Sus scrofa: one gene and its partners. The protein of the gene in region 7 interacts with the protein of the main gene of each other region in a biochemical or structural test. Links are inferred from orthologs where the notes say so. Each region holds a gene or a part of one and is shown on either strand. Other genes may lie near its edges.

Region 1 (4,121 bases), on a different chromosome or scaffold from region 7:
AAAGGATTGGATTCAAAGCAACCCAGGCTGAGTGATTAAAAAATGTGGGATGGAAAAGCAAGACCAAAGAAAGGCCCAGAACATCAAGGAGAGAAGAGTGTTCAGGGCTAGAAGGCAACCTAATAAAATAGGCCAAAGTTTGGTTGGCCACCCCACCCTCAGTCCATACCCAACTCCTAGCCTGTCCCTTCAAGGCAGGACTCTCACAATTCTCCTGCTCTCTGTCCTCCCAAACCAAACCAAGGTATTTCTATGGTCTCAAAGTGTCTCCACACATTTTGCTTATTAATTACAAAGGGAAAAATAGGAACTTTACAGTGAGTAACTTGGCTGACTCCAACTTAACCAAGTGAGGATATGAACATAAAGAGAGTTCTTAGGGAAGGTTCTGGAAGGATATTTTGGGGAAAATGTAAGATAAGGGTTTTGTGGATGAAGAGAGAAGGGGAAGTCTGGAGGTTCAAGAGTCTGTGGGTGGCAGGGGAGAGTCTATCAGGGAAGATGGGCTGTCTCTGGGAGGGGTGGGGAAATCAGGAGTTGGAGAGGTTCTGAGTGAAAAGAGCAAGTTTCATGAGGGAGGGACTTGATGGGAACAGTTTGGGTGACAAAAGTGTCACAGCAGGGTCGGTATGAGAGGTCTGGTGGTGAAACTCTGGATGACGAAAGGGTAGAGAGCTTTGGGGTAGGGGGTCTCTAGGAGAGTCCTGGAAGAGTAGGCGAGGGGGCAAGGCTCTAGGACAGCAGCCTGTGGGCGGGGAGGCCCTGTGATGAGCGCTTTCTGCCAGACCAAGGATGGGTAGATTTGGAAGGGGATCCTGGAGGGGCGGGGTCAGGGGCGGGACCAGGCCGGCGGGCGGGTCCCCCCGCGCTGCAGGGGGCGCTGTGAGGCTGGGCGGCCCCGGGCCGGGCGTCGGCCGCTCCTAGTGAGCGCGGCCCCTTTTCCGGGTTTCCTCCTCCTCCTTCTTCGCCGCCGCTGCCGCTGCCCCTTTCCCGGCCGGCGGCTGCCGCTGCTGGTGCCGCCGACGCCGCCGCCGCCGCCTCGGGGCCGCGAGCCGAGCGGAGGCCGCCGCGGAGCGCGAGCGCCATCCGCCCCGCCGTCCCGCCGGCAGCTCCAGGGCCCGGCCGGCTTGGCCGGCGCCCCCCGCGCCCCCAGCCCGCCCGCCCCCGCGGGCCCGGCCTGGCGCGGCCGCCCGCCGCTGCGCTCCTCCTCCTCCTCCGGCGGCCCGCGGCCCGCCGCCTCCTCCGCCCGCCGCCCCGCGCCCCCCGTCGCGCCGCCGCCGCCGCCCTCGGCGCCCCGCGACGCCCCCCGGTCCCGCCCGCCATGCCGGGCCCGGCCGCGGGCAGCAGGGCCCGGGTCTACGCCGAGGTGAACAGCCTGAGGAGCCGCGAGTACTGGGACTATGAGTCTCACGTCCCGAGCTGGGGGTAAAGCCGCCGCCGCCCCCCGCCGGGCCCTCTCACTCCCACCCCCGCCCGGCCGTCCCCCCACCCCCCGCGCAAACCGCACTTGTCCCCCGCTGTCTATCTCCTCGCCTGCCCCTTTGCTGGGCCTGCGCTTCTCCGGTCTGGGGTGGGAGGTCCACTCCCCCCACCAGTGCCCTCGTCTTCCTCTCCTCCCTTCCGCTTCTCCCTCCCCGTTGTGCGTACCCCTTACCCCAGGGTATACTTCCTTACAAGTGTAGGGGTCCAGGGACCAGAGCCCGGTGGGAGTAAGGGAGCAGCCTTTCCTTTTACGCTTTGGGGTTTCTATTGGGGTGGGAAGTCAGCAGCTGTCCTCTTGAGCTATTAAAATTCTTTGCTTTTCTATTTTTTTGAAATGAGGATGGGTGGGAGGAAATTTTTTAAGGATGTCCAGATTCGCAAGGCAGGCGGTGTCTACCTTCTGGGTGTGCAATAGAAGGCAGGTGCTGGGCGGAGGGGCACCTCTGGGCCTCCGGGATGGATGCTTTGCTCACCTCTAGATTGAGTCAGACCCGTGCCTTCCACCTTATCTCCCCTAAGTTATGAGGGACCAATTAGGTTAGGAACTGCGTCTAGTGCGAGGAGCCAAGTTTATGTTGTGGCTTTCATTTAGGGAATGAGTTGTGGCATGATGTGTAGACACTTCCAAGTGCTTGATTAATGGAAGCGCCTGGATGGGGTGTGTAGTGGGCATAGGCTTGGTTAATCCTAAGTCCTGCCATTTATATTTGTCGCTCTTGGCTTTCACAGTAATCAAGATGATTACCAGCTGGTTCGAAAACTTGGTCGGGGAAAGTATAGTGAAGTATTTGAGGCCATTAACATCACCAACAACGAGAGAGTGGTTGTAAAAATTCTCAAGGTGAGTGTCTTATGAGCGGCGTTAAAGTTTCTTTTTCACAGGTCAGAAGGATATGAACTATTTCAGCCACATTCTCCAATGAGCAGTTTGAGCTCTCATTTTGCATCTGTTCTGTCTGATGTCCCTCTCCTACTCCTCCCACCTCATTTTCCTGTGAACTTTCAAGAAAATCTGCAGAAATAGGCAGACCTGTTTCAACTCTAAGTGTGATGGTTCAGGAACATGCTTGTTCTGAAATGTAATTAAAGGCTTCCAAAGTGAAACTTCCAAAGGGGCTCCATTTATTAGAAAATAAATAGGCATTCAGAAGCAAAAAGAGCCTTTTCATGAAGATCCTATCAACGCAAAGGCTCCTCAAGTACTGTATATGTTATTCCAGAAAGTTGTAAAAAAGTAGCTTCAAGGATGCATTTGAAACCTGAGTGGAGGGAACCACTCCTGTGGAAAAATGACTTGTTTTTTCCTTCTTGGTGTTAAAAGTTTCAGGTAAGATGGATATAGTGAGCCAGTAGTGCCAGGAAGATTCATTGTTGCTTATCAGCTAGTAAACGTGAAGTTGGGTTGTTTTGAATTAAAGCAAAACAACCTGTCTAGTTTATAGAACCCTGAATTTGTTAAAGATACCTTTTGTCATCTCTTGAAGGAAGGCTTGATCTTGATGAACATGAAGAGTTGGCTAAATTCTCTTCTGAGTAACTGGTTGTGTAGCTTTGATAATGTGTCAAAGGCATATAAAAAATAATTCTTAGACTCTTTTCAATGATCATTGCCTGATCATTTAATGTGCGTGCATGTCATTTAGTGAAATCACGAGAAGACCAAAGAGTTGATTAGTAGGAGCATATAAGCACTTTCACATATACAAGAGTTCCAATGTGGCCATTTTGGAGAGGCTCTGCGAACAAGAATGTAGGATTGAAAAGCTGTTTTTGTGCCTTAAGTAAAGTTGGGGCAGCTGTGTCCCGATTTAAAAAGGGAGGTCAGGCTTCGACTATCAGAAAATCACCTTTCAGAAAAGTGATTGACTCTGTTACTGCTACCATTCTAGCCTTGTGATGAAGAGGCAGGTTTGCAGAGAAATAGGCAAGTTATTTGTGCTGTCAGAAACACTGGGGGGGAGATGTGAGGAATTGATACTGAAGATAGGGAGTTTGACTCTCCTCTTCCCTAAATATGAACTGCTCCTACAAAGTCACGTGGTCTTTATTTTTTTTCTTCACAAATATTTAAAGAAATATTCCCATCAGAGAAGTCACCTGGGAAACCATACAGTTTTTTTCTGTTAAACATTAGCATAAATGTTTTTAATAGAGCTACTTAAAATCTCTCTAGGAAATAAGCAAGGCATAAATTGACATTAGGAGTACCCATATCCCACTGTTGTGCAATCAGAAGAATAAACTGCTGACTCTAAAGCAATTCCAGAAAAATGTCTAAACTTTGATGTGATGGTAGCATTTTTAGAGTAAGTATGCAACTTCCTGTGGCGTCTTTTGAAAGGGAACCACATTCAGGTGTGTATATAAGTAATAGTACATTCATTTAGGGAAGTGTCATATTGCCCTTTTGTCATCCTTGTGGAGAACTTCATAGCCTCAGTTGCTGGATAGTTTTCCCCTGCTCTAAAGATTTATAGGATATGTTTAGGGTACCCGATATGGAAACTGAAGGACATTTTTAACCAACCAGAAATTTAGGCACCAAGAAGCATATCTAACGTCACTATGTTGAAATAACCCTTGGCCAGAACTCCTGTTTCCTATTTTTTTCCTCTCTCTTACTGTTTGTTTTAGTGTTA
Region 2 (3,500 bases), on a different chromosome or scaffold from region 7:
ATGTCCTGGATGAAGTACAGCTCGAGGCCGCACTCCTCCAGGTTGTTCTCTCTGGGGGCACGACAGACCCAGGGGGAAGAAGTCTGTCACAGAAGGGGCCTTCCCCCAATTCGGCTGTCACGCACTTGCAGGGCCCACGGGACACGGGGATCCGCAGGTGGCCTAGAACCCACCTCGGGAGGCAGAGGACACCTCCTGAGCTGCCCTGCAGGCAGACTGGAAGCTACCCAGCCCCCCCACTCCACCCCAGCCTTTAACCCAGCGTGGGGCGAGGGAGGGGCACGCACTTGATCCAGACGATGGAGTTGTAGAATTCGGGGTCGATGGACTCCAGGTCTTTCAGGGTTGGTCTCTTGTTCAGCATCCGCTTGTAGAAAGGGAGGGTGAAGCCCGTATCGATGAACTTTCCATGGTACAGAGCCTGAGGAAGGAGGCAACAGGGCGAGGAGGTGTGCTTTTCCCAGGATGCCCCATCTCAAAGCCCGGCTCCTGCTCCCCGCCCTCCTGAGCACCCAGCTGCCCCAGGGGCTGAAGGGAAGGCCTGGAACAAGCAGGGCCCTTGGTCCCACCTGCACACCTCAGGGAGCCACCTGCAGGCCCAGCAGGCCCACCACCTGCCCACCCGCCCACCGGCTCCCTGCTCTGGCCGAGTCAGCCCCAAGCTCCCAGAGAAGACTCATTCTGTACCGCTCCAGAGGGCGGCCCTGACTCACTGGTGCTCAGAGCCGGGCAGCAGAGGCAGCCAAAAATAATGCAGACGCCGCTGCTGGCGGGCCAGGGGTGAGTAATAGTCTAGGGTTTTACTGGTCTGTCCTGTCAGCTGCGGGGCCAGGCGGGTCTCTAGACCTGGGAAGAATGTGCCCACTTCCTGAGCCCAGCACCTTGGCCAAGAACTTCCAGACAAAGGGAAAGGACATATTTAGTCATGGGCTCTTGGGTCCCCCCGAGAGGGGGGCAGGGCGGGGCACTCCCTCAGGAAGAAGTGAAGGAAAGTTAGCAGCAAAACATCTCAAGCTACCAAATATGGCAGCAGGACTGGGGCTCCCAGAGATCCCCCTGTCTCCATACTCGTGAGATACTCAACCGGAGGCACCCAGTGTCACCCCCTTTTCATGTTCACTCTGTGGAGCCTATTTCTGCAGAAACACAAATACCGACTCTTCTTCCCTACTCTGCCCTCCTCGTGACAGGTGCCTCCTCCATCTTGCACCAGCTGGTCCACCAGAGCTCTGTTCTAAGCTAGTGTAGATTCCCAATTCCCTTCCAGAAGGTCTGAGTCATAGTCAGACCCTCCCAAGCTCTTGCCACCCAGCTCGTGGCAACACCCGGAGATGGGCAGCAGGTGGGCCGTGCCCGTCATCCCCCACCCCAACAGGGCACACGACGAATGTTCAGTGAAGACTCTGATCCGGGGAGCCCGGGCTTTCGCTTGGTGAGTCCTACACGAATCAATAAGGAAAACTTGCTCAACACCCTGTGGTGGCCACCGAGAGAGCTCTGATCTAGCGCTGGAACTCTCACTAGCTTTTTGCACCTTCAGTGAGGAGTTCTATAAGGATGAGGGTGGGGCCCAGAGAGGGGGTGCCAGTCTGCAGAGCTGCCATTGGTGTCTGGGGTCACCGCCTGCCCTGGAGGTCTTGTGGCAGTGACTCTTACCATGGCAATGAATCTGCCAATAAAGCGGAAGTAGGTGAGGTGGTCGGGGTTGATGGAGGAGGCGGGGTTGATCTGCAGGCAGTAATTGTTCTTCCCGGCGTATTCAAATAAACAGTACATGGGGTTGAGCACCTCGTGGGACAGGAGGAAAAACCACTCTCTGTGAGAGAAGAGAGAGAAAGACAAGACTAATGGATCCCTCCCTGCACACCCCCTCTGGAGCTGCAACTCTCCTCTGCCTCCTGTTTCACCCGGTCTGGAGACCTGTGTCCTGGGGAGGCAGCCCCACCAGGATCAGCAGCTGGGCCAATCTCTACGGACAGAGCAGAGTCAGACCCGAGGTGAACCAGAACAACAAGTGCACTTGACAATGATGCTCAGGAAGACCCATGTGCGTGCATGTTAGCTCTGGGTGCTGCATTCCAGGACTTCCCATCCGATATCCAGAGCAACTAACGGCAAAGGGGCTCCTTGCACCCTGAGCCACCATGCACAGCTGTGTGGGCTGTGCACTGCACAAGGACACTATGTTAAAATATCGTATATAGAGAACAAACTTGTGGTTGCCAAGGGAGAAGGCGGAGGGGAGGGAAGGATTGGGAGTTTGGGATTAGCAGAAGTAAACTATTATATATAGAATGGATTAACAACGAAGCCCTGCTGTATAGCACAGGGAACTATATTCAGTATCCTGTGATAAACCACAATGGAAAAGAATATGAAAAGGAAGAGATACATGTACAATTGAGTTACTTTGCTATACAGCAGAAATTAACACATTTTATATCAACTAAACTTTAGCACAATCTTTTTAAAAAACCATAATTTGTACATTTATCACAACAATGTCCCTGCAAACAGCTGTAAAGTTGCCATTTTGCCATTTTCGGATAAAACCCAGTATGTTGTGGCCATTTTCCAATACAGAAGTGTCTTGAGAAAGGGTACCTTTTTCTAAACTTCACAGAAATGCTTTATGAATAGCAGCCGGCCTGCTTCCGCCCTAGCTGAGGAGGCAGCATCTTGTGAACATGTGGTAACACATTCCTAACTCCCGATGCACAAAAACTCTGGAACCCATGCTGTGCCTGCACCTCACTCCCCCAGCTACAGCCCAGGTATCTCGCTGCCCTTGGGGCACTTGGCCATTCCCTCGCCCCCGACCCCATCATCATACCCTTCCCTGTATGTCCACGCATTCCTGTGAACCCATGTCCATGACTTGGCATCACTTTGGGCCCTAGGTAAAGCCTGAAGCCAGATGTCAGAGTCCTTTTTGGAGCTTGAGCTAGACCAGCAGGGGGACAGCCCAAGGGGACCGGTCCCTGGCTGCTGGGCTGTTTGTGGCCGGGCAGATGAGGAGTCCTTCGATGCAGAGGGTGCCCCGGTATCCTGTCCGTGGTTCTACCCTGTGGTAGAACAGCATGACGTAACCTACCATAGGGTAAAACCACTGGCAGGACACAGAGAGACAGACACACACGGGGCGGGAGCCACACCACCAAGCAGAGCCTGGAGAGGAGGTTATCGCGGTCACCACGGAAAAAGAGCCATTGATCCACGGGGCCAACACAGCGGGCAACGCCACCAGCACACAGAGAACCAGAAGCAAGTTAAGCCAACACCCAGCGAGAAGATGTCCCCACACCATGAGAGGCAGTGAGCTGAGCGGTCACCACAGGCCAAGATGCTCCTTCTCTCTGCCAGGGCCCTTGTGCCCCTCATCCGAGGCAACACTGGGAAGGGGAGTCTGTTAACTTTTGTAGGTGGACGGTGGGGAGGGCAAGACAACGCTCTGAGCTCTTTGTAGGATTATAGGAGCTATTTTGAGTCCACTGACCTTG
Region 3 (3,500 bases), on a different chromosome or scaffold from region 7:
ATGTTAAATGTTAAATATACTACAGGTATTCATACACACGCTAGTTAACACTACAAAATTTCTGGAAGTTTGTGTATACAAACAAAATGTTTGCTTCTAGGAAAAGGATTGAAAGCAGGAGACAGGAGGGAGAATTACTTTTCATTGTGTACCTTCTGACACTGTTTGAAAAAAAATTAAACCACATAATTACTTTATAAATCAAAAATCCTAGTAAATCATTTAAAATAAACAACTATGATCCTGACATAAAGACCCAGGTGTATGAATCTGCTCTTGAGGATTTAGGCTTATTTGAATGAGGCCATATACACTTCTGAGTAGCGTATAGTAAGATGATCAAAGTGAATTTCATCACAAAAACATGGCATTAGTTCCTGCTAATTTCAGAGAGCTTAGTGCTAATTGTGGGAATTGGGGGAAAAACAAGAGGTTTTTGACTAGAAGTACTTTAAGCATCACAGGGTACTACCTTTTCTAGTTGTACACTAGCCACAATATAAAAAGAAATACCTCACCCTCAAACACAAACAATATGCAAACAAAGCTTTGAATGCTTGATTTATGTATCTGTCTGCAACAATACTGAATCATTATGCTCTACACCTGCAACTAACACACTATTGTAAATCAACTATGCGTCAATTAAAAAAAACTCTGACTGGAGGATTAAATTGGGGTGGAGGAGAATAGAGGAAAGGATGAGTAAGAATAGGAGAATCTAGCTGACAGTAGGCATGGAGAAATATTTTCAGAAAAGGTACAAATGGCAATATTATAAATACATATTATATAGGTGTGAATATATATGAATAAACAATTTCAGAATACTTTTTCTGCTATATGATACCTTTTAAAATGGTATTATATATATAAAAATGTGTTCAAACTTGTTTCTATGAATCATATAGTGGATACTGCACAGTGAGTTTAAGTTACGCATTTTACTATCAAGAACCTTTTACAAAGATTTGATTTTTGATTGTACATTATGAAGCTAAGGCTATTTAATTAAGAATATTTGTTTTTGGAGTTTCCATCATGGCTCAATGGAAATGAATCTGACTAGCATTCATGAGGACGCAGGTTCGATCCCTGGCCTCCTTAGTGGATTCGGATCCAGCGTCAATGTAAGCTGTGGTGTAGGCTGCAGACATGGCCTGGATATGGCATTGCTGTGGCTGTGGAGTAGGCTGGCAGCTACAGCTTTGATTCAACCCCTAGCCTGAGAACCTCCATATGCTGCCGGTATGGCCATAAAAGGACAACAAAACAAAACAAAACAAAAGAATATTTGTTTTAATCTTAAGCAACGGGAGAAATTAAAATACACTGTCAATATTTAATTATCAAGATTCAAGTGCTATTTTGTCATAATGCTTTAAGGTCACATTTAAGACTTCTGCTGTCACATTAATTCTTTTTTAAAATATAGAATCATAGTACTTTGCATGGTGTTTCTCACAACAGCTTAGTATTTGGTGTCAAAGTTTTACACCAGGAATAAGTAATGTAAAATACTTCCTTGAAGGGGAAACACCTGCAGGGAGGGCCATATATGTCATAAAAAGTGCTTCTTTCAGCTTTGACTGCTTCATTTGTATTTCAAACTGAAGAGGCTTTCATGCTATTTTTAGCACTTTGAATAGACAATCACATATTTTTGCACCCCTGTGCTCTTAGCACATGAGTTCCTCACAGCACTGCTCTTCCTGACCCATTCCTGCTGTAGCTTTGGTGCTAATTTAGACTCAATGGACATTTAATGAGCACCTATGGTGGGCCATTACACTAAGGACACTACCATCAGGTTAGGTAGTATTATCATCCCATTGTTAACAGATGAGACATCTGAGGCTCATAGACTTGAAGTGTCCTAAAACCCCAAATTGCTAAGTGGAAAACCAGGACTTAGCTTGAGTCTTTCCTTCATACTCTGCTTTCAGGTGCCTCTCTTCTGCTTTCCCCTTTCTCTGCCTCTAATAAAGAGCAGAATACCAGAGAAATGAAGGAGGCCCCCTCTACCTAGCACCACTACCTTCCCCATGGAGAGGGTGAAAGGGAAGAAACTTCCAGGGCTCAGAGCTCCTATCACAGTCCTCGCTGCTGCCATTTCCATACTTCACCTGGAACACCCAGCCCAAAACCTTAGCCCTAACCCTGCTCCATAACTCTTTTCCCAGGTCACAGAAGGTGCTGGGGGTAATTATTACTGAAGCATTCCTGTAATAATGGAAGAAGTGTCCTGAGCAACCCTATTCACAACTCTGAAAAAATTTTTCTATGGTGACATAGATCCCATTGGCTCTTTTGGGGACTACCAAGCCTGTACCTGAGCTTGGTTGAACTAACTTCCAGTTGCTAGCTTACAATCCTAAGCACAGCTCAGAGTACTGCTTCCATGGGAAGAATCAGGTTTCTTAATTAAGTCAATGGAAGCCAGTTTGAGGCCTCCACAACTGATACCTTAATGAACTTCTGGAATATAACCAACTCATACCTGGCGATTCAATATTTACCCTCTCAGTTCACAGCAATATATTTGTAAGATTGAAAGCACTATTTGTATTGTACTCAATATAAAATAGGAAGAGATATACTCTCAAAATTCAAAAGCACAGCTTCCTGGACTATTTTTCGCTCTTACTTTTTTACGTTCATTTTGAAAAGTATGGCTTCATTCAACTCCAGAGAAACTTCTATTTTTTCAATATTACTGTGATTGCTGAGCCAGTGTTTATCTTACCTCCTCGATGAATAATCAAAGAAGTCTCACTTCCAATGGGACAGTCCTTAAGTATATCCACTACTTCCGTATGGCTCAGGTTCTGTACATTCTGCTGGTTGATCTCAACAATGAGGTCACCTTCACACAGGCCAGGACATCCCTGAATGTCAAGTATTTGTTTCACCCGCTGTCCTGTCGGACTATCTGCAATGGTGAAGCCAAAGCCCTGGGCACCTTTCACAATGGTTAAGGTCATAAGTTCAGCTTGGGTGGCCCCCGATGAAGCCATAGATACATTGTCGTCATGGACAGGCGGTGGATACGTGCCATCTAGCTGACCATCAGCTGGCATTGAGTGCAAAGAATGAGGCGGCCGATCTGTTATATCTGGAACTGACTGTGAGGTCCGAGAAATGTATTCCAAATAAGTTTCATAGTTATGTCTTCCATTGACCATCACTGGAGGTGGCCTCTCCATTATTGCAAGGGGTGGCACCATGCTGTTAGCAGGATCTTCAGGATCAAAGGGCAAAGGGTAGCCACGGCATAATACCAGGTTGACACTCTGACCAATGGGAACAGACTGGAAAAGTTTGACTACATCTGCATGAGTGTGTCCAAGGACACAAACTTCATTAATATAGACAATGACATCACCTGCAAGGGAAAAAAAGAAAGAGATTGACAACATGAAGTAAGTTCAATTAACGTTGACATAGAGAAATGGAATTATTTATGAGACTAGTGAAAGAGGTGCTCTGTTTCTCAGTAA
Region 4 (3,500 bases), on a different chromosome or scaffold from region 7:
TAAAAAAAAAAAACAAATTGAATCTGCTCAGTCACAGATTTTACAAGGACAGACTCACAAAAACATTATCTTTGGGGAGATTTTTTTTTATATTTAGGTTTTTGGAGGATTTTTTATTGGGTTTTTGGTTTTTTTTTAGGGGAGCACCTGTGGCATGCTTTAGTTCCCAGACTAGGGGTCAAATCGCAGCAGCAGCTACCAGCCTACACCATAACAACAGCAACGAAGGATCTGGGCCACATCTTTGACCTACACCACAGCTCATGGCAATGCTGGATCCTTATCCCACTGAGCAAGACCAGGGATCAAACCCACATCCTCATGGATACTGATCAGGTTCTTAACACACTGAGCCATGTTGGGAACTCCCATTTTTCTTGGTCTTGGTCTTTGCTTTTTGCCAGGCCATGCGGCAACTTGATGTGAGGACAACCAGAGCTACAGCACTGAAAACGCCAAGTCGTAACCACTAGACCATGAGAGAACTCCCACAAAAACATTCTTTGATCCTGAAACAATGAAGAATCTTGATATTTCACTTCAAACTCCCTAGCCCTAACTCCTCCTTTAAAATAACTTTTATATTAAACATTTATATAATTTGGTATTTGGTGACTACAATTCTTACAAATAGGGCAACCACATCACACCACAGAATGGATTCTTTAGAAGATAGAAAGTATTAATTGTTATCTGCCTATTGTCTTCGGTTAAGTTATCTTAGTCCAATTTTTATTTCCCAAATCTCAAAACTTGTTTAAAACCCTAATAAAACAAGTATCATCTAAAGAATATGGTCTTCTCCCAATAAACGACTGTCAAGAACAGCCCACTTCTCTAGATGGGAGTCTCGATCTTTTTTGGTTGTGCCCTTATACACCTAGGAGATGCTCCTACATTCCTTTAACAAGTTGACTCAGCAGCAGTGAGCGATTCTAAATGAGCAGGGCAGGAGCTGGGAATACGCAGCTGAAACAAAAAGCCTTTACAGTCTCCTCCCCAAGCCTTTCCACTACCCCACCACACCCACCCACAGTAATCCAAAGACTGCAAATGCCCTTTTTTTGTTGTTCTTTGCCTTTTCCAAGGCCACTCCCGCGGCATATGGAGGTTCCCAGGCTATAGCCACCAGCCTATGCCAGAGCCACAGCAACACAGGATCCGAGCCGCGTCTGCGACCTACACCACAGCTCACGGCAATGCCGGATCCTTAACCCACTGAGCAAGGCCAGGGATCGAACCTGCAGCCTCATGATTCCTAGTCAGATTCGTTAACTGCTAAGCCATGACATGACAGGAACTCCCCATAAAGACTGCAATTTCTTAAAGAGACATAAAAATTCTTTTCTTATCTGGTAGACTTTGTTCCTTCCATTCTCCCCACCCCACCATTCTGCTGTCCTATTAGCAGGCGACCTGGCTTACCTTCCCCATGTTTATCAGTGAACTGGAAGGCCTGAACTAGTCTCAGAGTCTCATCCACGGAGCGGCCAACAGGAAGGTCATTTATGGTGATCTGTCGAAGAATACCTTTATCGTCAATGATAAAAAGGCCCCTAGAGAGAAAACAGTCAAGGTATGAGGGAGACGGCAGTTTTAGAATCGGCTCTGTTAGAGCAGAGCAGAAACTGAAATGGGGTGGTCTCTGGCACTTACATGGGCCTTCCTTCCCCTTAGGCCCTCAGGCCTAAAGAATGAAATGAGACCATGAACGATCAGTGATGTACGTCAATTCCCTCCACAAAACAGGAAAAAAATGAAATCAGAATTCTCTACAGATCAGGGCTCTACCTTTCCAATAAAAACCTTGAGCCAATCAGATGACTCTCTTGCTGACTGTCAGTCAGCTCCCGCGCAGGTTTTTACCTGAATGAGATGCCTTCGTCGGCCTTCAAGACCCCGTAGTCCTGCGCAATGGTGCGCTTGGGGTCTGATATCAAGGGAATGTTCATGGGTCCCAGTCCTCCTTGCTTCTTGGGGGTGTTGATCCTACAAGCAAAAAAATCAATCACATTCATTCAAATTCTTCTGTAGCAAAAGCATTAACTGTATTTATTCCTTCCCATTTCCAACCTTCCTAATCTAACTCCCCAAACGCTGCATGCTTTTCCCAGCAAAGTAAACAGCTAAGGACAATTAAAGTCACCAGGGTACATGCAGTCTCAACCCAAGCTGCCAGGTAATAAGAGAACAACAAGAGGAAGTCAAAACACCTTTGCACTCCTTCCATGAGGAGCCAGAGGCCAATACTTGAGAAAGTCTATTGCCAAAGCTGCCCAGTCCCGGTCACTGCTCAGTTCAAAAGTCCACGTGCCAAATGGACCAAGAGATTTACCAGGCCAGATGACAGAAGTGAGAATCCACAGAAGCACCAATCACTTGGCAGTTGAGTTTCTTAAATTCTTCTGCCCTCTCACTGAAAGCAATGATCTCCGTGGGGCACACAAAGGTGAAGTCAAGTGGGTAAAAGAAGAACACCACGTATTTTCCTGGGAAAAAAAAAGGAGCCACAAATTAGCCTTCGAAACAGACTTCTTGCTTCATAGACAATGAAAACCTAAAGACATTTTATTTTTGTGTGTGTGTGTGTCTTTTCTAGGACCGCTCCTGCAGCATATGGAGGTTCCCAGGCTAGGGAGCCAATCGGAGCTGTAGCAGCCGGACTACACCACAGCCACAGCCACACAAGATCTAAGCCGCGTCTGTGACCTACACCACAGCTCACGGCAATGCCACATCCTTAACCCAGGGATCGAACCCGAAACCTCATGGTTCCTAGTCAGATTCATTAACCACTGAGCCACGACGGGAACTCCCAAGAAGCCTTTTTAAGTTGATTTCCTACGCGGCTCAGTGATAACCAGACTAGTAACCGTGAGGATGTGGGCTCCACCCCTGGCCTCGCTCAGTGGGTTGTTAAGAATCCGGCATTGCCATCAGCAGTGGTGTAGGTCCCAGACCCGGCTTGGATCTGGCATTGCTGTGGCTGTGGCGTAGGCCAGTGGCTATAACTCCGACTGGACCCCTAGCCTGGGAACCTCCATATGCCACAGATGTAGCCCTAAAAAAAAAAGAAAAAAAAAAATTTCTCCTAGTAGGTAACAGGATTTCTAGCTGGAATTTTACTAAAGTTACTCTACCAACCTGCCAGGCAGCCTCTCACCACACCTAATGGGCTGAGCTGTTTGGAACAATTTCAAATATTCACTTATTTCCAAATAGCATCAATGCTTGAAAATCATAACTAGCTGTTCCTTTTTGAACTTCACTTTGAAAGCTAACACCATTCATCTAAACAAACTTCTCCAGGGCTCTGCCTAACAAGCTTCAGCAGGTCAAGCCCTGGCGGGCAAAGAGGAGCTCTTCCAAAACCTCATGGCTTTACCCTTGGGCCTGGGTCACCTCCCTAAGGTGCTACTTACTTTGTTTGCCAGGAGAAGCCTCCCTCCATAGGGCCCCACTGACCTGCTCGTGTTCCAACCCCTATGTGAGATGTGCTA
Region 5 (2,163 bases), on a different chromosome or scaffold from region 7:
CAATCCTGCAGAATTAGGCATAAGTTGTTGTAAAATAAAAAACAAACAAACCTGTTTTGTCAAAACTGGCAGTGTAAAGAAGGCAGCACTGGAAGTGTCTGAATCATCTGTAATGCCAAGTACCCTCCATAAACTCTTAATGTGGTTAGGCTTTGGGACCCATCGTTTTGAAATCTTAGACGTATACACTTTTCTCATAGGGTCACACAACCTATGATTATCTTCACTCAGCCGAGTTGAACGTCAGCTTTAGCAATTCTTACACAAGCTATGTCTCTGCGTCTACAAGATAGTATTAATAATTCAAACCAAACTAATAGACAAGAGACCACTTAGGTTTAGTGTTACCATAGCAGCCTTTTATAAGTTTACTAACAACTTTAGCCTAATCCCAATAAAGCCTGATAACAGTCATAAGAATTCATTAGGAAGTTTACTGGGGGTACCATTATACCCATGCCTTTACGAGTCCATATAGATATAGTATTTATGTATATATATATAGTTAAGAGTGAATTTGGATTGCCTGAGTAACAGCTGTCTGGCAAACTGGACATGATGGCGTTCTCTTTTCACAGATCTTGTTGGCACATTCCATGCAGAAGAGGTTGTGGCCACATGGAACTAGGGCAGCAATAACTTCATTCTCAAAGCAAATCACACAGTCGTGCTTTCGTCTTGATTCTGGAGGTGAGCTAGAGGTGGAGCCACCATTGGAAGAGGAGTAACTATTGGTACCATTAGAAAAAGCAGGGATGTATATTGGAAGGCCAACATGGTTGCCTGTACTAGGTGGGTCGCTCCTAACCCTCCGAGCAAGTGGGTGTTCAATGCTCTCAGGAAATGTAGGAGACAGACGAGGAGTTGATGGCTGACTTCCTCTACGCTGAGTCTTCATGTTACCAGGAGGATCACTCCCAAAGCCAGAGAGTGGATTAACTGGTTCAAACGGAGTCCAGATAGTTTGAGTGGGTGTTGGTAAAGAGTCAAAGGCAGGAGAATCAACCGCGAGATCTTCTGAGCCTACAGAAGGTAGTGTATCTCCAAACCAAAAGTTTCCTGTGCTAAATGGGCTTGTTGGACTAAAGTCAGCCAGCCTATTGCTTCCAAAGTAGGAATCTGTGGAACCACTTCCCAGAGAACTGGAACTATCGTTTCGATAATTGGATATCATTCTGGCGCGGCTGGGAGGAACTGGATTGGAGGAAAGCCATGCAGAGCCAAGAGTGCCACCTTCAAAGCTTACATCAGTACCGTTATAATGGAAATCATTCTCTTCATTGAGCTCAATGTAGTTTCCTGTACGCATGGCAATATGCATTTCTATTTCTTCTCGTGCTCGGTCAACATTCTCGGGCATCCCTGTCACTTCAAAGACAGGTTCCTTATCTCTGCTCGGTGTTACTATGTAGGTGTGGGTCTGCTGCTGAATTCTTTTAATAGTTGCTCCTTTGGGTCCAACTACTAATCCTACCACACGATAGGGGACCCTGACTTGAACGGTGGTTTGACCGGGCAGATTAGGACTACATGACAACCCTCCCAGGGCCGGGCCATTTTTGTTTCGAGATGCACGAATCATGGAGAAGTGCTCTGCAGCTGAGAGGATTTCTCTTTTGGCCATGGCAACATCTTCTTTCCGCCCAGTGACAACAAAAATGGGCTCTTCACCACGAACAGGCGTCTTGATGTACGTGTTCGTCTTGGCTCTCAGCGCTTTAATTTTACAACCTGTTAGAAAGAAAAGATTTCATTAGAATCAACACCTACTTCAACAATATTGATAAAGGCAAATCAGAGAGAGATCCTTTTAACCTAAGAGTCTGCAGTTTTCCCCCTTTTAGAGTTTTTTTTCTTTATTAGAAAAACTTATCACTATATAATAAAACTTTCCTAACTTCACTAAGACGCCTAGATCCTGAACTACACCCTTCTGGGGATCCCTCTACTAGAGGTTTTAAACTAAGAGGATTATTGTTTTCTCTCTCTCGTTATTAACCATTGCAAATGATGCAGGAATACTCTATATAGGATAGCTACACTATGAGTGGGCTGACTTTCAGAATACTAACAGTTTACTACCTTGCAGGGTGTTGGTGGCAAAGAAAAACCGGTAACGTGTATGTGAGACATTTAATATCTATTGTCTTATTTAACCTACAC
Region 6 (3,966 bases), on a different chromosome or scaffold from region 7:
AATATTAAGATGATAAATAATGGGGAATTACTTAGGAAAACAAAACCAATGTTAAACACTTTAATATCTACCTGTATACCTATGATGCTACCTATTCAATAAAAGAGTATCTTCAGCCACTTAAAAAAAAGATGTAATATTCCAATTGCTCTTTTCATGTTTTGAATTAAATGGAATATATTTAAAAAGTTATGAAAAAGAAAAAAAGAAATATGGAGGCAATGAGGTTGAGTGATTTGCTCATAATTACACAGTTTACCTGAAACAAAGCCAACACAAGAACCCTGGCTTCCAATCAAGGGCTCTTTCCACCAAACCTCATGACCTCTTAAGAATAGCTTTTGTTCAGTTCAACTTATTTTACCACTACTGTTTTTATCTCCTCAAATCTGCTCACACAATGACCTTAAACAGTGTTACAGATTACACTGTAATACTATTACCAGATCAGACCACAGAGACAAAGCTTTAGAACTGACAGCTCATGATAATCTCCCGTCCTCAAAAGAACAAGGGCATCTATTTTGCCATACTCATCTTTGGAATTCTAGCACATAGTGTAATACCTGGCATACATAGTAAGTGCTCAATAAATTAAAAAAAAAATCATAGATTTTTTTCCCCCTGTTAGCACCAACTACCAGACCAAAAAAAAAAAAAAAAAACCCAAAACAGTGAAATATAAATTATTTCATATTTGGGGTCTCTAAGCATTTATTAACTTTTTTTTTGTCTTTTTGTCCTTTTAGGGCTGCACCTGAGGCATATGGAGGTTCCCAGGCTAGGGGTCTAATTGGAGCTGTAGCTGCTGGCCTATACCACAGCTCAAGGCAACGCTGGATCCTTAACCCACTGAGCAAGGTCAGGGATCAACCTCATGGTTCCTAGTCGGATTCATTAACCACTGAGCCACGATGGGAACTCCAGCATTTATTAATTAAATAAAAGACTTCTTAAGTGAAGGCTTACAACCAAATATAAGGGGAATATTTACATTACTAAAATATTTCAAGCATTATACAAACTGATACATTAATTGCAATAATACTTATCTACTGAAATGGGCTGGACTAATCTTTAGTCAGATTACTTCATCCCCCTAGATGAATGCACTAGAAAGTGATAAAACTGCAGATGTAGTACAAGGAGCCCTGGACTAGGACCTACACTAATCCAAGCTCTGTTAATAATCAAATATATAACCTTGGGCAACTTCCTTTTTCATCTTTATGTCTTAACCTTTCATAAAAACAAAAGAGCTGAACAATTAATTACCAGGGACCTTTCCAGTCTTAAATTTTTTATTGAGTTTTATCCACAAAGATTCCACATTCAGAATTTTTTCATTGTGTCAAATTTGATACCCTGAATGTTATAATTTGCTACATTATTCAATAATCAAAAGCTTAGCACATCTCCTAAAAATATATAAAAACTAATAACATATATTATTGTTACCTTCTTACATTAGGATCAATAGAAGAAAACCAAAGATGAAATGTTAGCATCCAATAATCTGGCCTGCTTTGCCAGTTGGGCTGAAATGAACCAATCTGGATTTTACAGTACAAACCACTGATACCTAAATACATATAGGTATATAAACATATATACACACACCACTGGTACTTGTTCATACTGATACACACGTGTGTGTGAACTTTAAAACTTGTTTTTAGTTATAAAATCAATAGTTGTTTATGGTAAAAAATTCAAACGATACATTTGGTCACATGTGAAGTGCAAGTAAAAAGCCTCCCACCCCCTCCACCCTCCATAAGTAACCACTGATGACATTTTTTTTTGTGCACCATTCAAGAAATTATCTGAGCATATACAAGTAGGCCTGTCTATGTATACATTTTTTTAACCTAAATCTTTGCCATTCCTTGAACGACGGGGAAAAATACCTCAAGCACTGGCTTCATAAACATGTTAAATACGTTGAAAGTAGGCAGCACAGTTGTATGGCACAAAGTGGTACATACTTCCAAAATGTGCACCGAATACGTTTTAATTTTCTTGCTTGGAGGCTATGTGGAGCAGCTGAGCAGAAAGAGCAGTGAGCCAGGAGCCAGACAACCTGGGTTCTAATCTAAGTAATGGAGTAGCCTCAGGCAAGCCATGAAATCTTCTTGTGCCTTAGTTTCTGCTTTTGTAAAATACCGCGGTTGAACTAAGATCCCTTTCAACTCTAAAATGTTATAATTCTAAGATGGCCGTCTGTAACAGTGTTCTCTTGAACTGGATATAACAAATGTTAAGTTAAAAAAGACAAGAAACAAACACTATAGCAACCTCCAATCTTAGAGCAAATATCTGTGTGTCATTAACTACAAAAGTAGTACATTTGTGACATAAATAGTGATGTAATTACATTTTAAAACAAAGTAGTAGATTATTAAAATCTGATAGGTCTTTACAAAGCTTTGATTGACGTTTTTCTTTTTCTGAAGGGTTAGTGGGCTGTCGTTTAGTTTCAGCAATAACCCCTCCTCCCGAAACGAAAAGAATTAAGTGTATTACGGAGTTAAAATAATGAAACTGAAAGTTAGACCGAATTTTGTTTTACTCACAGAATATGCTGGGGAGGTGACGAGGGTAGCAAAGGTTGGAAAGAATTACTAGCTAATTTCCTCTTCCGGAAGGTCCTTGGCTCCTATTCTTTCTGTTTCACACACTCTCGCCAGACACACCCCACCCAGCTCCATACCTGCCGCAGGCATTAGATTGGGGGGGGGGTGTCCCTTGGATCATTAAGAGAAAAAAGTTCTTTGACTCGATTTACCTTAGAGGTCATGGGTTTAAGGAGGCAGCCTGGCGGCCCGATGCCACCCACGCCTTTCTTCGGCAGTCCAGGGAACCTGGGCACTGAGTCCCGGGCGGGCCACCCGCGCCGGGCAGGGGCTGCCTTTCCGCCCTTCCCCGCAGCGCGGGGCCCGAGGGGAGGGAGGGGAAGGAGGAGAGGGAGGGGAGAAGAAGGAGGGGAGGGAGGGAGGGGAGGGAAAAGAAGGAAAGGGGAGGGAGGAGGAAGCCCGTTCGGGCAGTACCCACCGCGCCTTGAGAGCCGGCCTGGATCGCCCGGGGCGCACCGCGCAGTGCTGAGGGGAGGGTCCTGGAGGAGGGGCGGCCCAAGCCCCAATCTGGAAATGCCAACTCCTCCCGGAGGCCAGGCCCCGGCTAGAAGGAAACGGAAGTCTCTTAGTCTCCCCAGCTCGCACGTAGCAGCCCGCCTATCCCCGGGAGGAACCCCGAGTCGGGGAATCCAAAGTGCGTTCACGTCAGGGCCTCAAAGAGACACAGCACACGGCACTGCCCATCCGCCCCCGGCGCCCGCCCGCGCAGTCTCCTGGCCTCTGCCCCCGCCCAGCAAAGCCCCTCCTCCTTCCCCTTCCGCCATTTTCGAATTTACCCCTCCTGCCCAGGCCTCCCTCGATTAGCCCTGAGCTCGTCCACGAAGCCGCTGAAGGCCTGCCATTTTTTTCGGCCGGAAGGGGGCGACCCAGAGGAACGCGGCCCTATTACCCTCCCCCCACCCCACAAGCTGGATACTAGGACCTGAAAGAGCGAGCGCATGCGCAATGGGCACCTCAAGTCCCGCCCCCAGGTCAAGCATTTCCTCTTGTGCCTCAAGGTGTTTTTTCCCGCGGTTTTTACCTGATGAGCTCTAGGGTGGAGGAGTGGGGGAAGTGAGTTAAAAGAATGAAAAGATAAAGAGAGCGAACATGTTGAGTTCTTACTGTAGACCAATCACTGTGGTCGGCATGAGACCTGTTCTTTGTTGTAATTTTGACAACCCTCTAAGGTAGGCACTCTCATGTAACACCACTTTAACGGGAAAATTGAGGCCCAGAGAGGGGCTAACTGCCCCATAGCACGCAGCTAATAAACGAGGGAACTGAGGAATTCCCATTGTGGCTCAGCGAGTTAAGAACCTGACCAGTATCCATGAAGATGCGGGTTGGA
Region 7 (4,167 bases):
TAAACAGCATTCTGGAAAATTTTTTGAATGGAGGCTTATTTTAAAAAGTTAAACAGTTAATTAATGTGTTCCTATATATTCAGATGACTGTCAGTTTACGCCAACAGTAGACTATTTTTGAAGTAAGTTACAAATCAGAAGAGTTTTTCCGTAATTAACTTCTGGGTAAGCGGGTCAAGTTCAGTCTCAGTAAAGTTTTCAATTAATGCAACTTTAAAATTTCCAAATATTCTTTTTAAACATTCTTTTTTAACTTAACAGAAAACGGTTACCTTGTGTGCGTGGTAAAGCTATTTCTTCAGTAATTTTATCTTCATTTCAAAACAAATACTTCGAGTAAATTAGCTGTGCACACTATGTGCACATACATAACCCGAAGGAATAAAATCTCTCCAGATATACAACGTTTGATTCAAAAAAACTCCCCCACAATTTTTAGCTGTACATATATAAACACTTTAGTCTCACTTTACCTTTAGGAGAGATGTTTACTGACAGTTGCTAAGAAACCACTTTTATTAAAGAATATTAACACTTATAAAACTACATAGTTTTAACTAAATATTGTCAACTAGTAAAATTCATACCACCAAATTTCTTATCTTAATAGAGGCTTAAAAAAATGCTTCAGTCACCTCAGACCAGTAACTTAATCCTGTCTCATGTCTATACACTGGCCTTTCGTAACTCTCAATTTCTGATACTTTTCATTCTGCAAAAAAGGGCTCCATTCCCATCCTTGATCAAAGCCAGCTTATTATACCTGAAACTGCAAAGATTAATGCCTTTTGATAACCAGCATCTTTTGAAGTACAAGGGCCTGTTAGACAACCAATACTATACACTATTGAAATTCTTGGGTTTCTATCTTATTCAACAAGCTGACTCAGTAAATTTAAGACACCGTATGGAAAAAGCGGAACACACCTACAATCTGAAGCTGGAGTAATCCACTCTTGCCAGTCTGATTATTAGCTGATAAATTGTACTTGACATTCTACACAAGTCAGAGTAAGATTAACGGATACCCAAAGGTGTCAGAGGACATGATACCTAAATAAGGTGAGCAGCAATTCTGGCATCACAATAATACTTAAATTTCAAGTGAAACTGAAGTTTAATCTCTGCAATCACCATTTGCTACACACTATACCCTTCAACCTATACAACCTTATCATCTGGGATCAAAAACCACTCAATCTCCATTCTACTACTTGTCACAAGAGCACTGAATATAAAATGCTACTGAATTGCAAATTTCATATCCTATCCCATATCACCCCAATGGGGGGAGGGGAGCAAATTTAACAAAGATCTAATAAGAACGATTTATGAGATATACCACGGCACTATTGATTTCAAGCTACAAAACTTCCACATGCAGTTCAAAGTTGTAATTAACTTTGTTTTAACACACAAACCTACTTTTGCCTTCAAATGAGCACCATATATGCTAAAATGATTCTCTCTAAAGTTATGCAAATCAGTTCACAACTCACATTTTAAAAGAATCTATCAATGCAACCCAGGAAACTCAAAACAATCACTGCAAGATTCTGATGCAATATGCGTACGTGCAACACTAATTTTCATTTTAATCTGATCTATACCCTTGATCTAGGGCCTAAAGCCAAGATTTAATCGAAATATGCTCAACCTCAAAGCATCTACTTTTCTGTTCATTTAATAGACCGGATTACCGAGCTCACTAATCCACTAACACTGTACTGTATTCTGTATTAACGGACAATAGCCCTTAGGAAGAGACCCCGTAGACAGACTAAGAAACCCATGGGCGCCTTGACACTTGCAACCAAGCAAGAGTTCTGTCTAGATGAACACACCCTAGGCTGAATGCATTCAAAAGCAGCACAAAATATACATGATCTAGAAATCTGATTAGGGTTAAATGTTATAGTCACCCAAACTATGGACATTTTTCGCATCCGTCTACTCCCACGTTATAAGAGCGAGTGACAGAAAAGCAAAGAGGAGCAGCAGCCACAGAAATGGATACAGGTCAAGTCTAAGTCGAATCCATCCTCTTGATATCTCCTTTTGTTTCTGCTAACGATCTCTTTGATGATGGCTGTCATGTCTGGGAGTCTGTGGCTGAAGAAAAAGGAGGAGAGAGATGGCAGAAGCTGCTGGTGGCGGGGCTTCTTCTGCAGGATGGAAATGGCTCTGGACTTGGCGGTAGCTGATGCCCCTCGCTCTGCTGCCGCTTGGCTCTGGACCGCAGCCGGGTAATGGCTGCTGCGGCGGCTGCTGGATGGTTGCAGCGACTGGGCCTGCTTCTCCTCAGCAGCCAGAGATCTGGCAGCGGCGGCAGCGGAATGGGGAGAAGACGAATAATCCTCGGAAAGGCTGCCTCCTCCGGCGGCCTCTGGAGCCCGGGCCAGGGGGGGTGCGGCGGCGGCGGAGGGGAGGTTTAAAACCGGCCCGGGTCCCTGGATGTGCCGCCGCCGCCGCCGCCGTGTTGGAGGCAGTAAGAGGGGAGAGACCAACTCTCCGGCGTTCCCAGCCCTGGAAATGATGACAGGCGACTCCGACCCCCTCCCCGGAGCTGCAGCCGCCGCCGCCGCCGCCGCCGCCGCTTCTCCCCCCCGCTCCAGGAGCGGGAGGTGCCGCCGCCGCTCCTCAGCCGGCTCCCGCCCGAGCCCACGGCTTCCACCGTCCCTTTCAGAAGAAGCCGAGGAAGAGGCTGCACGGTTAGAAAAGAGGACGAAGAGGAGGCGAGAAACGCCGCCGCTGCCGCCGCCGCCGGCCGGCCGGCTCCCCGAGGGCGCTGCCCCCGCGGCTGCTCACAGGCGTTGAGAGGGGCTCTGGGCCGCGGCCGCCGCCGTCTCTCATCTCCTTCGCCTGAGCCCGGTCTCGCCTCACAGCGGCCCAACTCTCAAACTTCCATCATGGCTGCAGCTTCCGAGAGGAGAGAACTGAGCGCAGCCGCGTCCCGGCTCCGAACGGGTATCCTGCCGCAGTGCACAAAGAGTCCCGCCACATCACCGCCCGCCAGCCTGCCCGCCCCCTCCGCCGCCGCGCTAGGGGCAGGGGCGCCTGGGAGCCCGAGGGGAGGCGGGAGGCGGGAGGCGGGCCGGACCGCGCCAGGGGAGAGACGCGCAGGGCAGGGCTGGGGTTTTAGGGAGGGGGCAGAAGCGGCAGCTCTGGTGCGAGCGCCGAGTCCCCAACCTGCTGGCGCCACTGAGCATGCCCAGTATGACTGCCCGGGGCTCGCTCGGGCTTGTTCCGAGGCCCCCTCCTGAAGCTGCACTTGCTGCGGCTGCTTCTGCAGCAACGCAGGGTGGGGGGACGAGCTGAACCATAGCCTGTGCCCAGCAACGCAACCCGAGGCAGAATAGGCTGTTGCGAGCGAGACAGGGGGGTTAAGGTGAAGGCTGAGGCAGGTTCTTTGAGCAGTGTCACTGACGCGAGTCTGAGGTTACCTGTGCACAGGTGGGAAAGACCAGGTGACTGCGCTGGTAGTGTACCGGGAAGCGCAAGGATGGTCCCTACAGCGAGGACACCTCTCCCCTTGCCCCCAGATTTCCCTGGCACGGCCTGCAACCCCCCGTCCTTTTGCACCGCTGTCGGATCACAATCGTTCGCAGGGATTTGACTGCAGCAGCCTCTGCCAAAAAATCCACCTATCCCCCACCCCCACCCGTGTCCTCAAGGTGTCAGTCTTAATACAAAGAATCCCCTATTGTGTCTCTAGTGTGTATCACCTCATCCGGCTCCCTTGCATCGCCCCACCTCCCGCTTCCCCGGCAACCTGGTTCATTTGCCCTAAAATTGAAAGGTCCAGCAGAGCGTGCTGAATATGAACACATCGCCCCTGAATTTCTAGATCCCAAAGGACAAATGTCCAGGTGAAATGAAAGCTGATACCCGACGCTGGGATGCACCCCAGCCCCCTGGAGAGCAGAGAGCATCTCTCCCCTCGGGGTTCCAGTAGGGTTCACCGCGTCGAACTGAGCCAAAGACTCCTCGCCCCGCCCCCTTTTGGGCCGCTGTGAAAACCTGGCTGGCTGGATCGCCCCGGGGCCCGGTTCCGCGCTCCACCACCCGGGCGGAGACTCGGGTTGCTGGGCCGGAGAGTGAAGTACGCGACGGTAGGAAGCTGCAGCCCCGGCGAGTGGGCGGAGCCGAGGAGACCGAGGAGGGTTC

The links.
Region 1: the proteins of PTEN (region 7) and CSNK2A2 form a complex in vitro, tested with the Homo sapiens proteins (2 studies listed by BioGRID, with this or other methods). The link is inferred for Sus scrofa from reciprocal best matches to the Homo sapiens genes PTEN and CSNK2A2.
Region 2: the proteins of PTEN (region 7) and WWP2 form a complex in vitro, tested with the Homo sapiens proteins (7 studies listed by BioGRID, with this or other methods). The link is inferred for Sus scrofa from reciprocal best matches to the Homo sapiens genes PTEN and WWP2.
Region 3: the proteins of PTEN (region 7) and MAGI2 form a complex in vitro, tested with the Homo sapiens proteins (2 studies listed by BioGRID and IntAct, with this or other methods). The link is inferred for Sus scrofa from reciprocal best matches to the Homo sapiens genes PTEN and MAGI2.
Region 4: the proteins of PTEN (region 7) and PRDX1 form a complex in vitro, tested with the Homo sapiens proteins (2 studies listed by BioGRID and IntAct). The link is inferred for Sus scrofa from reciprocal best matches to the Homo sapiens genes PTEN and PRDX1.
Region 5: of the proteins of PTEN (region 7) and MEX3C, one has a biochemical effect on the other in vitro, tested with the Homo sapiens proteins (2 studies listed by BioGRID). The link is inferred for Sus scrofa from reciprocal best matches to the Homo sapiens genes PTEN and MEX3C.
Region 6: of the proteins of PTEN (region 7) and XIAP, one has a biochemical effect on the other in vitro, tested with the Homo sapiens proteins (2 studies listed by BioGRID). The link is inferred for Sus scrofa from reciprocal best matches to the Homo sapiens genes PTEN and XIAP.

Annotation. Positions count from the first base shown.
Region 1 is NC_010448.4:20,013,925-20,018,045, reverse strand, and holds the start of CSNK2A2 (casein kinase II subunit alpha'), read left to right. Parts: upstream 1-1,321; coding exon 1,322-1,425; intron 1,426-2,211; coding exon 2,212-2,323; intron 2,324-4,121.
Region 2 is NC_010448.4:17,074,483-17,077,982, forward strand, and holds part of WWP2 (NEDD4-like E3 ubiquitin-protein ligase WWP2), read right to left. Parts: intron 3,118-3,500; exon of another isoform or gene 3,048-3,117; intron 1,817-3,047; coding exon 1,657-1,816; intron 422-1,656; coding exon 288-421; intron 52-287; coding exon 1-51. UniProt on the Homo sapiens protein: E3 ubiquitin-protein ligase which accepts ubiquitin from an E2 ubiquitin-conjugating enzyme in the form of a thioester and then directly transfers the ubiquitin to targeted substrates.
Region 3 is NC_010451.4:101,931,193-101,934,692, reverse strand, and holds part of MAGI2 (membrane-associated guanylate kinase, WW and PDZ domain-containing protein 2), read right to left. Parts: intron 3,386-3,500; coding exon 2,747-3,385; intron 1-2,746. UniProt on the Homo sapiens protein: Seems to act as a scaffold molecule at synaptic junctions by assembling neurotransmitter receptors and cell adhesion proteins. Plays a role in nerve growth factor (NGF)-induced recruitment of RAPGEF2 to late endosomes and neurite outgrowth.
Region 4 is NC_010448.4:165,850,390-165,853,889, reverse strand, and holds part of PRDX1 (peroxiredoxin-1), read right to left. Parts: intron 2,490-3,500; coding exon 2,336-2,489; intron 1,990-2,335; coding exon 1,867-1,989; intron 1,557-1,866; coding exon 1,426-1,556; intron 1-1,425. UniProt on the Homo sapiens protein: Thiol-specific peroxidase that catalyzes the reduction of hydrogen peroxide and organic hydroperoxides to water and alcohols, respectively.
Region 5 is NC_010443.5:100,677,952-100,680,114, forward strand, and holds the end of MEX3C (RNA-binding E3 ubiquitin-protein ligase MEX3C), read right to left. Parts: intron 1,732-2,163; coding exon 506-1,731; 3' UTR 501-505; downstream 1-500. UniProt on the Homo sapiens protein: E3 ubiquitin ligase responsible for the post-transcriptional regulation of common HLA-A allotypes. Binds to the 3' UTR of HLA-A2 mRNA, and regulates its levels by promoting mRNA decay.
Region 6 is NC_010461.5:101,399,011-101,402,976, reverse strand, and holds the start of XIAP (E3 ubiquitin-protein ligase XIAP), read right to left. Parts: upstream 2,801-3,966; 5' UTR 2,789-2,800; exon of another isoform or gene 2,577-2,788; intron 1-2,576.
Region 7 is NC_010456.5:99,928,223-99,932,389, reverse strand, and holds the start of PTEN (phosphatidylinositol 3,4,5-trisphosphate 3-phosphatase and dual-specificity protein phosphatase PTEN), read right to left. Parts: upstream 2,801-4,167; 5' UTR 2,097-2,800; coding exon 2,018-2,096; intron 1-2,017. UniProt on the Homo sapiens protein: Dual-specificity protein phosphatase, dephosphorylating tyrosine-, serine- and threonine-phosphorylated proteins.